Linked DNA regions of Pelodiscus sinensis. The protein of the gene in region 1 interacts with the protein of each later gene in a biochemical or structural test. Links are inferred from orthologs where the notes say so. Each region holds a gene or a part of one and is shown in the gene's direction. Other genes may lie near its edges. The genes, in order: RGS4, GNAO1 and guanine nucleotide-binding protein G(q) subunit alpha.

Region 1 (7,052 bases):
AAAGGACACATCCAGGTACAATTTTTACCCCCTTCTGTGCCTCTCGACTCCAGTGGGTCAAGCCAGTGCCGGTCCCTCTATTCCTAGGAAAGACGAATATGAGGTGGGCGTCCCCGTGGAACCTCGGGAGGTCAATAACCTAACCCGACCAGCAGGTAGATGGTAGATTGACACTCAAAGTGAGTGTGCTGCTGGACCCATCTTTATACCCCTGGGCTGTGTCTAGACTGGCAATTTTTTCCGCAAAATCATCTTCTTTTGCGGAAAAACTTGCCAGCTGTCTACACTGGCTGCTTGAATTTCCGCAAAAGCACTGACGATCTCATGTAAGATCATCAGTGCTTTTGCGGAAATACTATGCTGCTCCCGTTCGGGCAAAAGTCTTTTTCCGAAAAACTTTTGTGCAAAAGGGCCAGTGTAGACAGCAGAGATTTGTTTTCTGCAAAAAAGCCCTGATGGTGAAAATGGCGATTGGGGCTTTTTTGCGGAAAAGCGCGTCTAGGTTGGCCACAGACGCTTTTCCACAAAAACTGCTTTTGCGGAAAAGCATCCTGCTAATCTAGACGCGCTTTTCCGAAAATGCTTTTAACAGAAAACTTTTCTGTTAAAAGCATTTCCGGAAAATCATGCCAGTGTAGACGTAGCCATGGGGTCACGTATTTCTCTTTCTTATCTAAGATGCCAAATGGTGCTGGTCTGTCTTTTGTGACACCAGTTCTTACAAGGGAGTTGTGAACTTAATTTACACTTGTAAGAGAGAGAACTAAATTGGAAGTACTGGGCATTCTTTTCTCAATGGGAGATTCCTCTCCCAGGGCCGACTGTATGTGATTGTATCAACATACGTGCCAGCCAGGGCAGTTCTCGCAGCCTCGAGGTCAGCTTATTGCCTTAATCGCTCTTTCCTCATATCTGTGTTTTCAGCTTCTCAGGATCAGATGAGCCAGCATAGACTATGCTGATTTTATTGTTCCTTCTCTGCCCTGTATGCTTCAGGAACCTCAGAGAGGCAAATAAGAAGGATGTGGGCGGAGGGGGGGGGGGGGGGAGTGTCTGTCTGGCTACAGGGTCATGGGGCAGGACAAGGACTGGGACCAGAGAAGTTGGCCTGGGTCTCCCCGATGCAGCACCTTGCCACCAGGGAGAGTGGCCTGTATAGACTGGCTTGTCTCTGAGGCAAAGGGCTTGACTTCAGGGCTGCGGTTGGCCACAGAGGCAGGTGCAAAGACAGCTGGGCTATGTCTACACTCACGGCTTCTTGCGCAAGAAATATGAAAATGAGGCTAAGTGTGGAATATTGCTGAGCCTCATTTGCATATCTAATGAGCTGCCATTTTTGCAGAAGAGGCCCTTGCGCCAGAAGGAGCTGTCTACACGGCCCCTTCTTGCACAAGAAAACCCTCTTGTGCAATGCTGTTATGCCGCTTATTTTTCAGGAAGAACAGCATTGCGCAAGAGGGTTTTTGTTGCGCAAGGGGCAGTGTAGACAGCTCCTTCAGGCGCAAAAGCCTCTTCTGCAAAAATGGCGGCACATTAGGTTTGCAAACGAGGCTCGGTGATATTCCACAATTAGCCTCATTTGCATATTTCTTGCACAAGAAGCCGCGAGTGTAGACATAGCCCAGGTGTACCTGACTGGGGCAAAAGGCTGGAGCGGTGGTGCTGCCAGACAGCAGTGTCCTGAGAGCGACATGGGCACAAGGAGAGCCAGAGGAGCGCTGAGCCAGCTGGAGTGCCAGAGCTAATTCCCAGTCCGACCAGCAGGAGGTGCTGTGCTGGTGAGTTAACCCTGCTACGCACCCTGACAAGGGGTGAGGTAGCCTTAGGCCCCAGGAGGAGTCTCTCAAATGCCTTCATCATGCAGGCTGCCCCTTTCAGTCCCTCATGGGTCCACCTGGCCCAGCCAGGATCACGGTGATCCAGCCCCCTTCTCCCAGGACCCTGCCAGACCGACTGTGCCCTGCTCACCTGAGTGACTTAGTCACTGCTATCCACAGGAACCCAGGGATAGATCTGACATGGCCTAGTGGGCAGATCGTAGGACTAGGGGACCTTGAGCAAGTCCCTTCCTCTCCCTATTCTTGAATTGCTAAATGTAAAATGGGGGTAAGGCTACTGAGCGCCTTTGCAGTGCCGGGACACCTTCGGATGGAAAACACTTGGCAAGAGGCGGAAGAATCCATTCTAGGAGACTGGAACCTAATCAGAATGGCATGTATTGTCCAGAATGGCATGCATTGTCTGGTATTGTGCTAATTACAGGATGTTCGTTTTTAGGACTGATTGGATAACAATTGTCTTGTCATTGTGAGGAATGAGATATGTAAGTGTCTCTTCCCCCCTCCCCCATAGCCATCAGAATGAAGGGTTCATAGTAGGACAATGAATATGTTTTTCAATTTCCCCTCTTCCTTCTCATTAAACCTTTGGTCCTATTGTTTCATCTAGGATTGCTCTGTGCTCTGCAGTCTTGTTCTCTCCCCCTTCCAGGCAAACTGACCCTGAAGGGATTTTTTTTCCAGGAATTACTCTGCCCTCTGCCAATCTGAAGCAAAATAACACCCCAGATACACACAGTTTGGATTCCAAAGAATTGCCTTTGGCTCCAGAATAATGAATACAAGACAAAAGGAGGAACCTGCAGTGCAGTCCAGTAAAAACCTGAGGCACTTGGCCAATGTTAATCAGTCCCAGAGTTGTATGCCTGACCTGAACCATCTTCCCTTTGCAAAATGTGTTGGGTAGAATTTTGTATGTTTTACTGAAGTGATGTATGCTGAAGGGGCTGGCCTGAGAGACAAGGTTAATTCCCAGTAATTTGGTGGCATCAAATGCACATCGAGCGTGGGAGTAAAAGGAGAGAAATGCAAATATTACTTGGCAGGCAGCAAAGCCAACTTGGCAGTTGTTCAGTAATAACTGGCTCGTGTGAGCCAAAGATCACACAGGCAGGGCTATGCTAATAAGAAGTTTCCACCCATCAGACTCTCTGACTCGAACAAAGAAGGTAAGTGTAAATGGTTTCTGGCTCAGGGCAGTCAAAGGGGGGGGGGGGGAGGGGAGGGGAGAGAATTGGCCACAAGTAGCTTGTGCTGCTAGTAGTATCTCTTATAAGAAAGGCCTGTGGGCATGGGTGGGAGGGGATGCAGATGTAAGCGGGGTCAGGGTAAGCTCTAACCTGACATCAGGGCTACGTCTACACTGGCATGATTTTCCGGAAATGCTTTTAACGGAAAAGTTTTCCGTTAAAAGCATTTGGGGAAAAGAGCGTCTAGATTGGCACGGACGGTTTTCGCAATTGGGGCTTTTTTGCGGAAAACAAATCTCAGCTGTCTACACTGGCCCTTTTGCGCAAAAGTTTTGTACAAAAGGGACTTTTGCCTGAATGAGAGCAGCATAGTATTTCTGCAAAAAGCACTGATTTCTTACAGTAGGAAGTCAGTGCTTTTGCAGAAATTCAAGCAGCCGGTGTAGATAGTTGGCAAGTTTTTCCGGAAAAGCGGCTGATTTTCCGGAAAAACTGGCCAGTCTAGACACAGCCCTGGTGGTGAACTGTGGCAAATGGTGCAAAGAGACTTCAAGGCGAGATCCCAATTTGCATAGACACACCCACCCCGTCTAGTATGTGCTCACAGCAGCCCAAATGGTAACTTTGGCCACTGTGGGATCCCCAGTCTCTCTGTTATTGAGGCAGGGAGGATAAAAGTGTTGTTACCTTGATTAGGCGAATCAAGGACAACAGAATGGTGGAACTGTTTATGACAGAGGGATTTGCCATAAACTAAGTAGCACTCGCTACACAAGGGGCATGGGTTCCAAACCAAGTCAAATTGAAAAAGAGTGGGGACAGGTCTTTGTACTTGGTGGTGAGGCCCTGGCTGAGCATCTAAACAGCACTGATTGCATTTTCTTTTTTCTCTAGTCTGGTGTATCAGAGCTAATTTTGATTCCATTAGGAGTCTAGTTGTGAGTTGCAGAGTTGAGTTCACTGTGGGTTAGTGGAGCACTAGCACTGAGGTTCCTCTATCGTGAACTGAACTTGCTAAAGACCTGAAATCAGTGTGTGCTGTGGGGAGCCTGGCGCTATGCTGCGGAAGAGCTGAAATCACTATTGCTGTGGGGAACCTGGCGCTATGCTGCTGAGCTACAAGCAGAACAGCTTGCAGGGACAACCAGCAAGTGCAGGCGGACAGCAGAGCGGTTTGCGGGAACGACCGGTGGGTGCAGGCGGACAGCAGAGTGGCTGGTGGGGACGGCTGGTAGGAGCAGCAGCAGACAGTCAGTGGAGCAGCTGCAGGAGCAATCAGCTGGCGGCCAGGGGCATGGACCGAGATGGCTGGTGGAGCCAGACAGTTCGTGGGACAGCTGAGGCGGCTCATTGGACGACAGGTGGACGTGTTGATGGTGGCGGCAGAACCCTACGGAGGTAAGGTGTATCAATCCCCGCCCCTCCAGGTTGGGATGGTAAAACCCTGCCAGGTGAACTTTTGAACCCTGGGGCTGCACTGACCCAGGGCAAAGACTTTTGGGGTGTTGGTCTTTGGGTGATTCGTGGCTGGGGGGAGGGTCTTTGCTCATGTATGGTCTGTGATTCTGAGTTGTGGTGTTTTCCCAAGTTCATGCTGATGTCGGTTACCTCATGTTATTAAAGGTTTGCTGCTATACGGAGGCTCTGTGCTTGCGAGAGGGGAAGAATTGCCTCCGAGGCACCCAGAGGTGTATGTAAGATTTCCCAGGTCACTGGGTGGGGGCTCGAGCCGGTGTTGTATTACCTTGTTGGGAGGAGACCTCTAGATACTCAATCCGGCCCTTGCTGCTATTAACTCGGCCTGGCAGAAGGGTAACATAAAGGAACCTGCCACAGATGGAGTTTTAGAATAAGAACCTAATAGAGCCATTCAGGGTTAGGCTACTGGGCTAGAGGGGCCAGTGGGCTGTTTTCCAGCTAGGGATGTTAAATATCATTTAATTGAACAGTCGATTAACCTCATGAATTCGTATTGGTTCATCAGCTATTCTATAATCCCCAGGGAGTGAAGCTGGTAGTCAGTGGGCTCCAGCCCCACTCCTGAGGAGCCCACTGCCACCTCTGTGTCCAAGGCAGCAGCGCAGGGTGCCAGGCGGGAGCTGGTCTGCGAGGGGAGCCAGTTTTAAAACTAGCTTCTCTCGTGGACTGGCTGCCTGTGGCCCCATGCTGCTGCCTCTGATACAGTGGCAGCAGCATGGTGTGGCAGCAGCCCCTGTCTGGGGTGCAAGGGATCTGAGCTCCCAGACCTGGCATGAGTTGGAACTGGGCTGCCTGCCTGCCTGGCTCCTAATAGACTTGACATGCAGAGCTGCAGTGGGGGTAGGTCATGGACCCAGTGCAAACTGGGACTGAGACAGGCTGCTGGCCAGCCTGCTAAAAAATTGACTGGGGGGTGGGGAAGAGGGGAAATGTGTGTGGTCTATAGTATTAACCTATAAGCTTTTACTTATCGGTTAATTGATTGATCAGCTACACCGTTACATCCCTACTTGCAACAGTGGCCAGTATCAGGTGCTTAGGAAGTAATGAACAGAAGAAGTGATCATCAAGTGATATCCTGTCTTCTATTCCCAGCCTCTGGTTGCCAGAAGCTAGAGACAAATAGTGTGTGTGTTCTGTAAACAAGATATAGATTATTGAAGGAGAATACCAAGGACATCCAAAGCCTGCAGTGGCAGCATACACAGCACTGAATGCCACCTCCATTCAGAAATTCTGATTTATAGCTTCGAAGTCCAGATGTTACACTGGAGAATCGCACTCCTTTAGCATGGATACTAGCTTTCAGGAAGATTGGGCTAATTTGTCAATACTCTTCATTTTTGAAGACTTTATGGAATAGACTGGTTAGGTATGGAGCAAGAATGATTGGCTTGGGCAAGTGGTCCTCTTTGGGAAGTCTGCAGTTGGGCCACAGTGTAAGAGAGGCAGTAGGCAGTGCTCCCAGTTGTGCATCCTGTGGACTGGAGAGGTAGCCACCAAGTAGTAGAGGATGCTGGAGGAAAGGGCTCAGGTGGGGCTAGGGAGAAAGCAGCCAACAGGTTCTACATTGGGCCTGCCACTGGGCTCCAGGAAGCTGTCAATTAGCACCATTTAGGAGCTTTGCCTTTAGTGCCCCCTGTCCAGCATCCTAGGTGGAGCTGGGCGAAGAACGGACTTTTCAATGTGGCAGCTATTTCAGAGGGAGAGAGGCTGAGTACAACAAATCCAGGGTTTTTTCAGAATTTTTGGCAAATCAAACTGTTGGTATCATTTGACCCAGAGCATTTAATTTTTGAGCATTGTTGAAGGGCAAGAGTCAGAGGCATTATCACCCTGGGAACGTTTGCAATGTCAGAGATCCAGGTTCAAATGGCAGCATCGGGAGGGAAGGGGGACAGCCTGCTGCCCATGTGAGGGCCAGCAGCAGTGGGCTAGAGCCTCATTACTGCTCTTTCCCCAGTGAATATTCAGAAGCAGTTTATGCAGAGTGGAACAGGCGAGCTGCTCGCCTGAGAATAGCCACTAACCCAGCCTGAGGCCTGGCTCTCCCCTAGAGCCGCAGAACAAACCTGCCTTGGCCCAGGCAGACGTGAGGGAACGCAGGAGTGCTCTGGTCCAGCCGCCATGCTTTCTGCATAAAATAGTGACAGCCCCTTCAGTCAGTCTAGGCCTTGTGTCCATGGACACACGACCCCTAAATGGATGGAGTTCATCTACAGATACCTGTACTGGATGTTCCTGCAAGGGGGGCTTCTGGACCGAGGACTGTCCTGGGAAGCAGAGCAGCAGAATAACCCTGACAGTGCTGAGGCCGTGTCCCAGGCCTGTCTACCTTTGTCTAACCAAGGGAGGGATTTACCCCAGTGCTGTACTGTTCCAAGAGCAGCTTTCCGAAAGGGAGGCCATCACATTTTTGGTGACCACCCAGGCTTGTATACTGCAAGAACTCACTTCTATGCTGTGTCTGGTTCCAAGAGCAAGAGCTGAATAGCCCCCCAAACAGGGGAGCTAGGGCCTTGGAGGTCCAGTCCTTAACTGGGCA
Region 2 (7,844 bases), on another chromosome or scaffold:
TGCGCAAAATCATGCCAATGTAGATACAGCTGTGTTGTTTGCTTATATTTATCTTTGTAATTTGACCTAGTTTCCACTTTTTATATGACTCCTTTTTGATTTTTAGATCATGTAAGATCTCCCGGTTGATCCAAGGTGGTCTCCTGCCAGACTTTTTATCTTTCCTACTCAGTGGAATAGTTTGCTTTTGGGCCCTTAATAATGTCCCTTTAAAAATACTGCCAACTCCCTTCAGTTGTTTTTGCTCCTAGTCTTCCTTCCCATGGACCTATCAGCTCTCTGAGTTTACTAAAATCTGCCTTCCTGAAATCCATTGTCTCTATTTTGCTGTTTTTCCTTCTACCATTCTTTAGAATCATGAACTCTACGATTTCATGGTCACTCTTTCTCAAGCTGCCTTCCGCTGTCAAATTCTCAACCAGTTCTTCCCTATTTGTTAAAATCAAATCAAGAACAGCTTCCCCCCGGTAGCTCTCAACCTTCTGAAATAAAAATTTGTCTCCAATGCAATCCAAGAACTTGGATAGTCTGTGCCCCGCTGTGTTTGTTTCCCAACATGTGTCTGGATAGTTGATATCCCCCATCACCACCAAATCCTGTGCTTTGGATGATTTTGTTAGTTGTTTAAAATGGCTTCATCCACTTCATCTGCCTGGGTAGGTGGTCTGTAGTAGACATCACCCTTATCTTTTTTATCCCTTTTAACCTATCCCCAGTCCATTCCTTGATTTGATTTTAACAAATAGGGTAGAACTGGTTGAAATCCAGGAGAGACAAGGATAGAGTCCAAAATGTAGCAGAACTCAGCACCACCCACCCCTGGCATGGGCTGTGGACCTACACATGGAGGAGAACCGGTCTGCCCTCCTTCATGGAAAAGTTCCTCCCACTGCTGGGTGTCTGCCTCAACTAGGCCCTGCTGACATTGCAGTTGCCATGGTAAGAGTATCAGAGGGGTAGCCGTGTTAGTCTGAATCTGCAAAAGCGACGAGGAATCCTGTGGCACCTTATAGACTAACTGAAGTGTAGGAGCATAAGCTTTCGTGGGCAAAGACCTACTTCGTCAGATGCATGTAGTGGAAATTTCCAGAGGCAGGAATAAATATGCAGGCCAGGATCAGGCTGGAGATGACGAGGTGGATCCAATCAAGGAGGCTGAGGCCCACTTCTAGCAGCTGATCTCCAGAGTGGCGCATCCCTCAGTTGCTCCCACAGGGCAGGCTTCAGGTTTGGCTGTGCAGGGCCCAGCTGGGCAGGACAGACTCTTGTGGTGTGAGTGGCCAGTGCCCTCCCCCTTCCCTGGTAGCAGGTTAGGCTGCCCTGTGTTCGGCAGCAGTGGGAGGAGCCCGCAGGATGCAGGTGGGGGCTTGGGGTCCTTCAGAGCTTTGCACTTAGGGGACTTGGTCTGGGGGAAGGGGTTCAGGCACTTCAGCACCCACCCCCCAGGGTGCCATGGACCAGACCCCCACAGGACTCTGCCCCCCAGCAGTGCTGGACACCACGGGGTCACCTACTCACCCACCCCTGCCTCACTGTGCTGCACCTAGCCTCCCTCCCCCCCATATCCCTGAACCCCCCAAAAACACCCTAACTACAGCCCTATTCCCAGGGGCACCCTGCCCCCATCAACCTGAACCCCCTCAGCCACTCTGCACCCCAGCATTATCTGCAGGCACTCTTAGCCCCCATCTTCCTCCCTCCTTACCAGGCACCCTCCCTCCTGGCTAGACACCCTACCCCAAGCCTCCTGCATCCGCTTTGCTCCTTGCACCTTCCCTCCTGGTCACACATTGCACCCTCCCTTGCTCCTGCTCCCTCCTCCTAGCCAGCCACCCTACTCCCAGCCTGCTTCTGTACCCTACCTCCCACCAAGACCTTGCAACCTCTTCCCCTTCTGCACCCCACCTCCCTTCCAGATCCTGCCCTTATTTCTATCCCACTCACTGGCAGCCCTGTCCCACACACTGAACCCCTCATTTTTGTCCTCACCCCAGAGTCTAAGGAGGTCTATAAAATCCAGTAACTCCAGAACACCAGAAAAGTGAATCTGGCCTATGGGAAGCCCTGAACTTCAGTCCTCTCTGTCTCTTCCCCTCGCCCCATCAGGCTGGAGCACCAGGATTGTGAGGGGGGGGGGGTGTTGGAAGAGAGTTTTTTTGCTTCTCACTTGTGTGGACCCCAACTGATTTTTCTGTGGGTCAGTGGCTCCTGACACAAAAAAGGTTCCCCACCCCTGCCATAAATAAAGAAAACATTGAAACCTTTTGTGTTGGACATAAATTAATATTTTACTTTATTTAGAATGAAATTTTATAAACGAACATGAGACAGTTAAAACTCTTAATCTGTTTAATGACTTAAATTGAACCATTCTCCCTAGCTGCAGCCAATAGCAAAATGGCTTGAGTGTAATTACTATATGTAATTAATGATGAGTTTACATTATCAGCTTGTGGTCCGCAGAAAGTTTCACATTGGGTGGTCCGTGGGCTAAAAAGTTTGAGAACCACTGATCTAGCCTATTATCCTGTCTTCCTACAGTGGCCAATGCCAGGTGCTTCAGAGGGAATGAACAAAACAGGTAATCATCTAGGCTATGTCTACACAGCAGCATTAGAGGTGTTTAAGTCTCGGCTTGACAAAGCTCTGGCGGCTTTGATTTAATTGGGATTGGTCCTGCCTTGGGCAGGGGGCTGGACTTGATGGCCTTCTAAGGTCTCTTCCAGCTCTATAGTTCTATGATTCTGTGATTTCAGAATAACCGATGTTATTTCAAAATTACAAAGTGGCTGTGTCTAGACTGGCCAGTTTTTCCGGAAAATCAGCCGCTTTTCCGGAAAAACTTGGCAGCTGTCTACACTGGCCGCTTGAATTTCCGCAAAAGCACTGACTTCCTACTGTAAGAAATCAGTGCTTTTTGCGGAAATACTATGCTGCTCCCGTTCGGGCAAAAGTCCCTTTTGTGCAAAACTTTTGTGCAAAAGGGCCAGTGTAGACAGCTGAGATTTGTTTTGCGCAAAAAAGCCCCGATCGCGAAAATGGCGATCTAGATTGGCCACAGACGCTTTTCCGCAAAAAGTGCTTTTGCGGAAAAGCGTCCGAGCCAATCTAGATGCTCTTTTCCAAAAATGCTTTTAACGGAAAACTTTTCTGTTAAAAGCATTTCCGGAAAATCATGCCAGTCTAGACGTAGCCACAATGTGTTTCTACAACGCAAGCTGTTACTATGAAATAATTTAGAGATGGAGGACTTCTTACTTCGACTCCTGTAACCCTCATTTCATGAGGAGCAAGGGAAGTTGAAGGAAGAGAGTTCTTCCTTCGACTTCCTGCTGTGTAGACCATGCCAAAAGCCGAATTAAGCTATTTCAGCTTTAGCTTTGCAATTGATGTACATGTCTCTGAATGAACCTAGGATGGGATTTCATCAGGGAAAACCTTTTGTCACTTCTTTCACTGTCTCCTCTCCCACCTGGTACCAAATTTGCCCAGGCCTAATAAAGTTCATCTCTGCAAGTGTATAAACTTCCTAGAATCAATTATTATGCTCCTTCTGACAGCAGGACCTACAGGTGCTAACCAAGACACAAAACCCATAGTGCTAGGCATGCATTGTACATACACAGATGTACTGTGTAAATGTATGCACTGTACAGTACATATATAGTCCCGGCCCACAAAGAGTTTACAGTCTAAATAAAAAAGACAAAAGGTGGCAGAAAGAGGAGAAACTTCTTATAGAGGAGAACTGAAACACAGGGGAAAAAAGTGACCTAAGGCCAGCACAGGAAGTGGCAAAACCAGGAATTTAACCAGGTCTCCTGCAGCCCAGGCCCAGCCTTTCCTCTCATTATTACCAAAGTAGCACTAGACAAGCCCTATTCACTACACCAGTGTTTCTCAACCTTTTTTTTTTATAAAGAACCCCTTTTCAAAAAAACCAAAATTATAAGTACCCTCAGTACCTAGTTTTCAGACACACAATTTTTTTGTCTACCATTGCACCCCATTTGTTTAAATAACTTAATTTTAGCTGGGCAGGCGATGAAATTTTTGGGTGTAAAATGTACAAAAATAATAAAGCGCTGTCAAACTTCAAACAAAAATTCAGTTCTCTCCAAATTTCAGTTGTTGACGTCCCCCCCCCCCCCCCCCAGCCTTCTCTCAAGTTCCCCTAAGGGTACTTCTACCACTGCTTGAGCTACACTGTATGTACAGAAAGGCCAGTAAGGAGAATAATCATTTGCACTGCTAAAACAGCTCCTACTCCAGGCACTCCACCAAGCCATGAATTCTGCTTGGGAAAACTGAGGTCACTGCTGAAAGGTCACAGAGTGAGCTCGGCTAGCCCCCGGCCTTGGCACGGGGCAGCATGCATGCGAGGAAAGGGGAAAGACGCCTTTGAACCTCACCGAAGTCCATTGGCCTGGCAGAGCTTTCCTGGAGGGGTCAAAGGGAGACAATGACGAGTTGTCCACCCGCAGGCTCCTTCCTCCCCGGCTCCAATTGTTTCCCAACTCGCGCAGGCTGCAGAGCGCACAGGGCCCTACCTAGGTACCCCCCGGGGCTGCTCCCCGCCCTCCTCTCGCTGGATCCTCGCTGCACCTAGGGATGGAGCGCGCGCTCTCCTCCTGCCAGGAGCCGCGGGAGCAGCTGCTCGCGGCCCGGGAGCGCCAGCAGCCCACCCTGCTCTGGGAGCATGCGCGGGCGGGCGCTGCGGACGTCACCAAAGCAGGCGAGCCCGTGAGTGCGGACCCCTGGCGCAACTCCCCCTCCCTCCTTCCCTCCCGCCCGCTCGCTTTCCCCTTCTGCTTCCCTCTCCGCCAGGAGCCGCCGAACGATGCGATCGCTCGCAGCCATCGCCGCCGCCCATTAGAGACCCCACAGCCTGCATCAGAGGAAAAAAACCCTCCAGCCAAAGCAGGATCCACCCTTTCCCCTCCCCCCGCCGAGCCCTCTTCCTCCTCCTCCTCCTCCTCCATCAGGAAGAGCTCAGCCTTTTTTGCACCAGCCCCGTGCCTGCCTGCAGCCCTAGATCTGCCCGGCTCCCCCTTGGATGCACTGATTGCTAGAGAGAGGGAAAGGAGGGAAGGGCATTCACAAGAAAGGGGAAACGTATTTGATTGCCCAGATTTTTTCCTGGGGGTTCATTTTTCCCCCCTTTCTCTTGGAGTGTCTGAGAAGGGGAGAGGCGGCCGCCGAGGGTTTTTTTGGCCATCATGGGATGTACACTGAGCGCAGAGGAGAGAGCTGCCTTGGAGAGGAGCAAAGCGATTGAGAAAAATCTCAAGGAGGATGGGATCAGCGCCGCCAAAGACGTGAAATTACTCTTGCTAGGTAAGCAGCAGCTCCCCCCCCCCCCCACTCCGCCCCGCCGACCACATCCCTACCCATTTCCTTAAGTCATGTTTTCTTCCCATCTGTGCACATTCTGTCTTGGGAAACTGTATTTCACCAAGATAACCCCCTCCGTTAACACAGCTGCTCCCTTCTGTGTAATTTCCTTTATCTCCTTATGTTCTCACGTTCACTGGATCTTTTCTTTCTGTGTCTGTCCCAACAGGGGCTGGAGAATCTGGGAAAAGCACCATTGTCAAGCAGATGAAGTAAGTCCTTTGGGGCTAACGCCCTAGAAGCGTCGATCATTTGCCTTGAAAAAATCTAGACATTCCTCTGATTTTCTTTGGAGGGGGGAGCTTGTGAGAAGGGGCTTCTTTAGTTGTAAGAATGCCTGTGACCGCCATATTTATCTGAGAATTACTGTGGTTATCGTGTTGTGGCTTGTGGACCCATTAGTATGGCACATCTGTAGCAGTGATTTCTAGTGGGGAAAGAAGATGGAGGGGGATCCAGCCCTTTGCTCACCGAGGATGACCAGGTGTCTGCTGTTCATGGGGTTGGTGCTGAATTGGATGTGGTGTGGTTTCTCTTTTCCCTCTCATAAGGTGTGAGAAGCTGCCTGTGGTTGGGGGTGGGGTAGGATGGGTTTCGTAGAAGATATGAATGGCACAGATGAAACCAGGACATCATCATCCTCTGCATTTAAGCTTAATGTCAGGTTTTTATCTCCTAGGCTCTCTCCTCTCAAAACACACACTCCCTTCCGTGTTTTACCTCCTGACGTGAGCTGCTGGGCCGGCTCCCTGTATTTGTTTATTTTAAAAATCTGCCTGTAATGCGGATTTAAAGCAAGGCTTGCTGCCACTCAAAGCCCTTTTTACCCGAGATTTCCGCCTTTCCTGTTGATTAATTAAGACGTTGGCTGCTGATCACCAATGAAAATTAAGGGAGTTTTAAAAAAAGAACAGAACATTAAAACAATTACACAAGGAAACCTGCTCCGCTGTAAAAGCCCTTTCCAAATCGGAACATTGTTCCTCTGTCTTCCCCTCCCTCAACCCTCTCTCCGGGGCATGGATGTATTTTAAATCTCACGAGGCTGTCTGGAAGAAAGCGGCGAACTGCTGCGGTTGTGTAGGGTTGGACTTGCCCAGGGGTTCTTCTGTGACACCTTTGTGCGCGCACACGCTTGCTAATTGGGCAGTTGCTATGCCATAAACGCGCGCACACACATTGATTCTCTTTCAAGTAAGCAGTGATGGTGGGGGGGGGGAGGCGAGGCAGGCTAGCGAAAGGGGGGGAGGGTATTTTTATTTTGTAAGTACATGAGAAATGTCGGGCTTACCCTGGAATAGCCATGACAAGCTCATTCAAGGTGGCGCCATCACTGAGCAGCCCCTGATCGCAGGCTTAGGAGCGTCCCTGCTGCTTGGTTTTAAAGGCCCAGGGCGGGTTTGTTATTGATCGGTGCAAGGCTGATTGCAAAGGGAGTTGCTACGCTGACCCCCTGGGGGAGGCTCCGAGAGCGATGCCCAGCAGCGGGTGTGGCGGCCTGTCATTGCCAGAGGTGGCCTGGGGGAGCGGGCCTCCCTTGGAAGGCTTTGAGCAAAGGGAGGGGACTCTGCCTGCAGAGCGGCTGTCGGCCGGGCCGGTCCCCACGCCGCGGCGCCAGCTGCGAGCTTTCAGGCGTTCCGAGTGGTGGACAGCGCCCAGCAGAGCCTGGAAAAGTCGATCGGCCCCGGCAGCTCGGCAAAGCTCGGCGGCCGCCGGGAGCCTGCCTCGGCGGCGTTCGGAATCTGTCGGGAGACACAGAGCAGCGTCGGAAATGGCCGAAGGGGTTCGGAGCCGCTCGGTGCGCTGCCCTCCCCCGCCCACCGCACACGTTCGATGCATTGTCGAGCGATCTGCAGGTTGGGTCATTTTGCCATTGAACAGGATCGGTCCCTTCCCTTCTGGGCCCCACCCCGCTCTCCAGCTGTTTGCCATTTTGCCACCCGGGGGAGGGACACTGTGATCTGTTTTCAGAGAAAAATAAGGCGACTTCCAGAGAGGGACGGGGAAGTCCAGTTTTCCATGGCTTTAGCTGCTTTGGCAGTCCTACCAGACATCTCCCATGGCTTTTTATAGCGTTGTTTGTGTTTCAGTAAAGACACACTCAGCTTTCAACTCCTTGGAAAGGTTTGCAGTTACAGGTTTGTCCTTTGGTTTATTGGAAAATTTGGAGTAGGAAAGGGAGGGTCTGGAGCAAATTAACATCAATACATTAATAAATGCATCTGTCCATTAGATTGTCTGCAATAGACTTATCCAGGTATGGCTTTGTGTGTGTGTGCTGACATCCATGAATGTATCCCTTCCCTTCAACCAGAAGAGAACACATTGAAATCAGCCTTAGAGATGATGGGTTGTAGGATGAGTCTGGAGCAATGTACACAAAGTGACTAGGCATATCAAGTTACTGTACAGTAGCTCTGTGTAGCAGCATTCATGTTTTTAAAGCAAGA
Region 3 (7,150 bases), on another chromosome or scaffold:
TGCCACCAACGCAGGAAGGGCCTGGGATCAGCTGAAGTCCCCAGCTGACCTTGGACTCCAGGCAGCACTGCCCCTTTGAAATGCCACTCCGTTTCAACAGAGCAGCACCTAGGGTCAGCTGTGCGGCACTGCCCTTCTGAAGGCCAATGTAGCCCAGGATCAGCTGGGAACTCCAGTTGATCCCAGGCTCCCATGGCACTGCCCCTTTGAAACGCCGGGGCAGCACTTCAAAGGGGCAGCGCTGCATGGAGCTGGCATCAGCTGGGGAGTCTAGCTGATCCTGGGCTCTCGCAGAGCTGCTGCTGCCCCTTTGAAACACCGCGGTGGCAGCATTACCAAGGGGCAGTGCTGCACAGAGCCAAGGTCATCTCTCGGGATCCGTGCCGTCACTGCTGCATTTCAAAGGAGCAGCGTGAGCAGAGCCTGGAATCAGCTGGGGATTCCAGATAATCCCAGGCTTCCACAGCACTGCCCCTTTGAAACACCGCCGCAGCATTTCAAAGGGGCAGCACACGCGATTAATCATGTGATTAACCACAATTCATTTTTAAAATTGCTTGACAGTCCTAATACTAAATATATCAAGAGTCGCTCATCAGTCTTTCAGGGCCCTAATACCTCTCATTGTATATATTTCCTTTAGGAGCTGTGGTAACCCTCCCCATCATTTAGAACACAATCATATATAAACCATTCATAAATTTAATAAATGGTCCCCCAAAATACTGCATGGGGTTGCAATATTAGTCACAAAGATGTTGTTTTATGAGATATTGAATAAAGCTGAAACTATGATAACAGATTCATCTATGTTGCTGGTATGCTCTCACCTTGTATGCAGTGTTCTGTTTTGGTCAAACCATCTAAAAAAACAGAAGACACACAGAGTGGGTCAACTAAATGGAAGGATTTCTGTACAAGAACAGATTATAAAGTCTGGCACTACATACTTTAGGGAGTAAGAGGAGATATGATAGAGATATACAGCATTATCAATGGTATACCAAGGTTTATCACAAATGCATATTTACTCTCTCTTACAAAGCAAGAAAGTGATGGTAATGAAAATAAAAAGCAACGCATTTAAAACAACACCCTCAATTTTTAAAAGTGACTAATTATCATGAGTACCTCAGTGTTTGGGTGCCCAATTTAAGACACTTTAAAGGAATCTGATATTCAAAGAAGATATGTTCTTCATCACTTCCTGAACACTAGACTCTCCTTAAGGAGTCTTCCAGTCAGACACCCAAAATCCCTAGTCATTTTGAAAATTCAGGCCAATAAATGGAGTCACCATTATATGCAAGATATACTTAAGCTATGGAACTCAGATACTGAGGCAAAGAGCTTGGTGGGAATCACAATAGTATTAGGTATCTCTGTAGTTAATAATTGTATCATTTGCAGATATACTTGCTAGGATAAATATATACAGGGAAAAGGAGATATAAAGCCTCATGATTTAGAACAAAAGCCTACCACTATTCTGATTGGAGTTAGGAAGAAACCCTAGAGGTATATTATTGCTTGATTCTGATTATGAAGGTTTTACACTTTCCTCTAAAGTATCTGGTACTATTCACCTGCAGAGGTAGGATACTAGCTGAGGTCCATTTTTATGCGCTGCTATCGCAATTTCTGTAGTCCAGCCTCATAACATTTTCTATTTATTCTGTGGTTTTTCTCAAGATACATATTGGAAGGTACTGCCCTCAGGTCATATGGCAAAAATCATTGTCATTGGGAGAGATACGTAGAGAATAAATGCAGTATACATACCCAAGAATTCCTACAATTAAATGACAGCTTCACATTTTTAGTATATAGTATTCAGACCCTGGAGAGACTCTTGCAACTCCCTTTAGTGCTCTGAAAGATGAGTCAGACTTCCTCTTCTGAAGGAAGATTACTATAATGCTAGGCCTTAAGGGCTGTGGCTGCTATGCTCTCAATATGCAGAGAGATTTTGATCAGTTATCCTGGGATCTTGCAGATCCACTTGCTATAATCTACCCATCCCCCAGACTTGCTGCAAACACTTTTGCACCATGCCGGGCCCTGTGCAAGCAGTGTGGTGAGCACACAGCATGTTTCCGGCATATGTTCCTTATAACTGGCCATTGTACCACCATTCTGCTGCCTTATTGTCCCTTATTCACTTACAGGTCCTCATCCACTAAGAAGTTGTTCAGTGGAAGCAAAGAGGATTTGACCCCTGTGTCATTGTTCACTTGTTTCTTGGTTAGCATTTTTATATACATGGTAACTGCAAACTAGTGCCTATCAACTGTATCTTTATGTTGCTAAATTCATTGCCAACATATACATAAACCAGGGACCCTAAAACATGTTATTACATTTTAAATCCATTTCAGTTTACTAAAAAATGATTTTTCTGAAATATGTGTTTTTTATTAAAAATAGGATTGTAGAATTTAATTTAAAACTTGTCCATCTTTATTTTAATTTTGTTTGCAAGGTAAACGAAACATATTTTCAAAAATCAACTGAGCTGCAGGGACTATTTTTTTAGTCTGTCAAAAAAATTGCTGAACAAATCAGCACAAGTAAATATATTTTTAAAATTGTGAAACAATGAGAATTATTTTATTCAAAATCTAGAAGTCACTGTTTTGATCATTAAATTTTAATTTTCAGAGCTTGTGATGAGCATAGCTTAATTAAGACTGTCAACATGTATGAGCAGCTGCACATGTGAGCACAACATACTTTTCAAAATATATGCCAACAGGTGCTGGAAAGAGCATCACACATGAAGCTGGCAGGTGAAAGAGGATATGGAGCAAGACAGGATCCTTCTCCATTATAGCTAATTTTAAATGGGGTGGGAATAGGGCAAAATGCAGCTAAAACATCAAGGATGGATGAAAGCTAGGATCCATATCATGTATCAGTCCATAATGTGCCATTGCTCTGTAATGGTTTGACTTAAGGTCTAGTAGTACAAATATACAAGGGGTTTGGAGTTTGGCAAAATCACACAATGGATAACCTCAAAGTTACACCTACAGAAATAAAAAGTAAAACAGATTAATCTATTTACATTTTAGAATCCTAGGTTCCTGGAAGCAAGGGAAGGAACCTACCCATTTTATTTAGTATAATGATTGTTACAATCTCCCCTCCCCCATTGTTCTTCAGCTCAACATATGAACTCCTTGGCATGAACAGTTATAAGGAACGCCTTGAAGACCTTGGGAAACTTTTATTCCCCAAATTTACATTGCCATCGGAAGGGAGAAAGGTTCCGCCTCTTTCCCCTCCTGGGAATTATTCTTTCACTCTTAAACTCTTTGCAAAGTCATCTCTTCCTGGAATAGCATGAAGGTTTATAACAAAATGGATTTTAAAAAAGGAATGAAAAGTAAATACAAAAATATGTTACCCTCCCCAGCCCTGCCCTATAGGACAAATACAAAAAAGAGTGTTCCTTGCGGCCATTTGGTGTGCAAAAGTACTTGTTCCTCCTTCTACTACTGCTATTGGATGGTGGTGCTCGTCTTTGTGTGAAAGCCTGTTCAGTGGGTTTGAAGGTTTATTGCCCTGGGATTTTCCTTTCTGTCTGTAACATATTCCTCTGTCTCGTGGGTTGGAGAGAGGGAGGGAGAGAGAGGGAAGGTCCGCCATATTTCTGCCTTACCACGCCCGGGGAACTGAGCCATTGAAAAGTCAGGCTGGCTGGATACATATTGTGCATGCACCACAGCTCCTGCTTCCCTCCTCTTCTCTCACATTGTCCCCTCTCGCTTCCTCACAGAAAGGGAAAGGCAGGAACACGACGAACAGCTCTGCAACAGCTGCTTTGCAAGCCACAAGCAAGTAGCTCTCCCCCCGCCCCCCCTTCAGCCTCAAAGAAAGCCGGGAAGAAAAGTCCACTTGCAAGAAAACCTTAAGCAAAGCAAACTCCAAGAGATTTTCAAGCGGCAACAAGCAAAAACCACCTCCTGGAGCATCTGGTCTTCAAAGTCAGGGAGGGGGGAAGAGAAACAAGAAAATGTGCGTGTGGAGGGGGGGAGGGGTTAGTCGCGATTAGCATTTCAGTAGGGGGCTGGCTGCTTGGGAGGGAGCTGAGGGGGGATTTCAGCGGGTGTCATTTACAAGGGACTGAGGTGACCGCAGGCGGCAGCGAGGGAAAAGAGGGGGCGTTGGGCTGCTCCTCTCTGCTGGGCACTGCTGCTCCGGTGGATGTTTCCCTGTTGTTTGGTGCATGATTTAGAGAAGAGGAGGAGTTGGAACTAGAGGGTGTCAGAGGCAGGAGATAGTGGGGTTGCGCTGCTGCCACCGCCGCCGGTGGGGGCCCTTTCTCTGCCTCTGCTCGCTGGGTGTAGCATCTAGCGCTCTCCCGGCGTCGGCTGGGCTGTCCCCGGGTGGGGGCTCGCAGGCAGAGGGCGCGTGCCTCCCTCGCTCCGCGGTGCGGGGTGTGAGTGTGTGTGAGTGTGAGTGAGAGTTTTCGGGGGGTGGGGGTTGTGTCTGAACCAGTTAGGAAGAATGACTCTGGAGTCCATCATGGCGTGCTGCCTGAGCGAGGAAGCCAAGGAAGCCAGGCGTATCAACGATGAGATCGAGAGGCAGCTCCGCCGGGACAAGCGGGACGCCCGCCGGGAGCTCAAGCTGCTGCTGCTGGGTAAGTCCGGGCAGGCGCCGCCTTCACCCCAACCCGGGCAGCTGCCCCGGTGCCGCGCCGCCCCTGCTGCTCACACACATACTGGGTGCCAGGGGGCATTGGGGAGTGCAGCTTTGCCCGTGCATGTAGGCACCTATGCAGTCGATATGCCGGTGTGTGGATCCCGAGTGGATATTGTATCCGCGCCTTGATCAGTCTTAAGGGAAAGGGAGTCTGGCTATGGGTGCAGGGGAAGGGAGGGAGGACGCGATTTACACTCAGTTTCCCTGCTTTCGCTCCGCGGGGGCTTCCAATCTGCATGATTCTGTTTATTCGGACTCTGATGATAGTGGAGCGGATACATTTGTGTGTGTGTGTGTGTGTGTGCGTGCGCCCAGATAGCTATAATACACGGTGTTACATGGTGTATATTTGGTGGCATGTTTTGCAAATGAAAATGTAGCTGGGTAAATACATGATTCTGGTTCCTGAAGGCAATTTGATGTGGAATGGACACTGGCCTTCCAAAAATGGAGCGGGGAGAGGACTTGGTGGGTGATAGAGAGATGAAAAGAGAACATAAATGGCAAATACATTTGGGGGTGGGTGTAAGGGAAAATTGCAAGGCAGCAGCTAAATGAAAGGACTCACAGGCGGAGTTGCTTTGCAGATTGATGGTGGCAAGCTTTAATGTCTGCATTGTTCTGAGAGCCTTCCGAAAGATTGCAGGGTGGCTGATTGCTTCATTAAATAAAAATAACACTAAAACATGGAAACGGAGATGAAGGGTTACATTCAGATTATAGGCTAATTTTTTACAATAACAGCACCACCATACAAAGACCATGAAACTGAATAATAACCTACAGTATGTTAGAGAATGACAGGATCTGGAGTATCTTCGGAATCCACCCACTGGATAAGAAATACAATTTACCATATACAACAGAATTTCCTCTTAATTTCGGCAGTTTCTGTACAATAACTGTAATTATATTACAGTTATTGTACAGAAACTAGTGTGTCCCTATTTGACTTTGTATCTGCTAAAATAATACTTTTGAATTAGAAATAATACAATTATTTGGTCATAAGATTTTTTTTAATACACAGTTATCATGGTAGATGTAGTTAATGCTTTGGACTAACAGTGCCTAAAAATGTCTGCACAAGAGCCTGATGTGCGTGTATGTGGGGTTATAAAACTGAATACATCACATGCAAAAGATGTGTATTGTCTGCTTTAGTGCAAATGTACTATCTTGTTTTATACATAAAGGTTGTTATTGATATGGGTTTAAATATGTTAAAGCTGGTTCAAAATATGCAAACATGAGAATGACTTTGTATGACCATATTCTTTTAAATTAATTTGCAGTTTTCCTTCAGTAACACATTTTCTCTTCGGAAGTTGGAATAATGGGTGTGGAGGAATGATCAGGAGAGAGAGAGAGAGATAAAAATTGCTTTGCGTATATGATTTTGGCCTAGTTTTGCACATTGTGATTATTTTAGAATTCAAGACAAGATGTGAATTACAAATTATATAGCTTGCATTTGCTTTAGTTTATGGACACTGACTTAACAGATTCAAGAAGTATTTTTTATCATATTTGGCTTGTCGTACAAGTCCACATGATTTCTGCATTTTCCTTATTTCTGGCAATAATGCTACAGGATTTTGCCCAAGGTTCTACGAAAGTGTGAAGTTTATTAGGGGTGTTTTCTGTGTGCTCCCAGAATGGGGACAAGGGAACTTAAATATATTAATTTATATAATTTCAAAGATTTAGGCCCCAATACTGTTGTCAGTCATGCTCATGCTTAACTTAATGAATGAGTAGTGTCATTGATTTTAGTGGAGTCCATTCACTTGTAAAGTTAAGTAAGTGTATAACTCATGGCAGACTTAGTGCCTAATTTTGGCATTGCTTTAGTTTAGGCCAAGTGAAAGGTGGGTAGTTTCAGTGCAAATAGATGGGTCAGGAGAGCTCTTAATTTATAGAACTATTGAGAAAGCTCAGGGTTTTTCTGTGTAGGTACAACAGTGCAAACCTTCAATGTTGATGTGCTGCATTAGTGTAATGTGAGTTTGCACTGGTGTGGTTTACTCGCAACGGAGAGAAGTGGTCCTGATGCAATACTTGCTTTATACAAAGTAACCCATCTCCAGTGCTCATATGCACAACTGTAACAATCCCACTCCAGAAATTCCTATTGTATACAAGCTGTCACTATTCTACTTTCAAAAGAGTACACTCTAATTAAAGGAGATTGTCAACTTAAAAATCATGCTCCTTACTGTTAATGATGTGTACTGGTGTCACAATTAACACCTATGGTTCTGATTCTACAGGGAGCTCTGTGAAGGCAAACTCCACTTGAAGTCACTGGGTCTCAGGGCAGAGACAGTGATTTGCCTGCACAGAGCTGCTTCCAGGACCCAAATATAAAATTAGTGTACTGAAATAATTTGGAGAGGGGGATATTTTTCAGTTGGCTTGTGTATTTGACAGCAGTTTG

The links.
Region 2: the proteins of RGS4 (region 1) and GNAO1 form a complex in vitro, tested with the Homo sapiens proteins (2 studies listed by BioGRID). The link is inferred for Pelodiscus sinensis from reciprocal best matches to the Homo sapiens genes RGS4 and GNAO1.
Region 3: the proteins of RGS4 (region 1) and guanine nucleotide-binding protein G(q) subunit alpha form a complex in vitro, tested with the Homo sapiens proteins (3 studies listed by BioGRID). The link is inferred for Pelodiscus sinensis from reciprocal best matches to the Homo sapiens genes RGS4 and GNAQ.

Annotation. Positions count from the first base shown.
Region 1 is NC_134719.1:65,678,856-65,685,907, forward strand, and holds the start of RGS4 (regulator of G-protein signaling 4), read left to right. Parts: upstream 1-4,022; 5' UTR 4,023-4,133; coding exon 4,134-4,426; intron 4,427-7,052. UniProt on the Homo sapiens protein: Inhibits signal transduction by increasing the GTPase activity of G protein alpha subunits thereby driving them into their inactive GDP-bound form. Activity on G(z)-alpha is inhibited by phosphorylation of the G-protein.
Region 2 is NC_134722.1:44,556,753-44,564,596, reverse strand, and holds the start of GNAO1 (guanine nucleotide-binding protein G(o) subunit alpha), read left to right. Parts: upstream 1-4,760; 5' UTR 4,761-5,219; coding exon 5,220-5,337; intron 5,338-5,563; coding exon 5,564-5,606; intron 5,607-7,844. UniProt on the Homo sapiens protein: Guanine nucleotide-binding proteins (G proteins) function as transducers downstream of G protein-coupled receptors (GPCRs) in numerous signaling cascades.
Region 3 is NC_134716.1:37,304,093-37,311,242, reverse strand, and holds the start of guanine nucleotide-binding protein G(q) subunit alpha, read left to right. Parts: upstream 1-4,126; 5' UTR 4,127-4,512; coding exon 4,513-4,648; intron 4,649-7,150.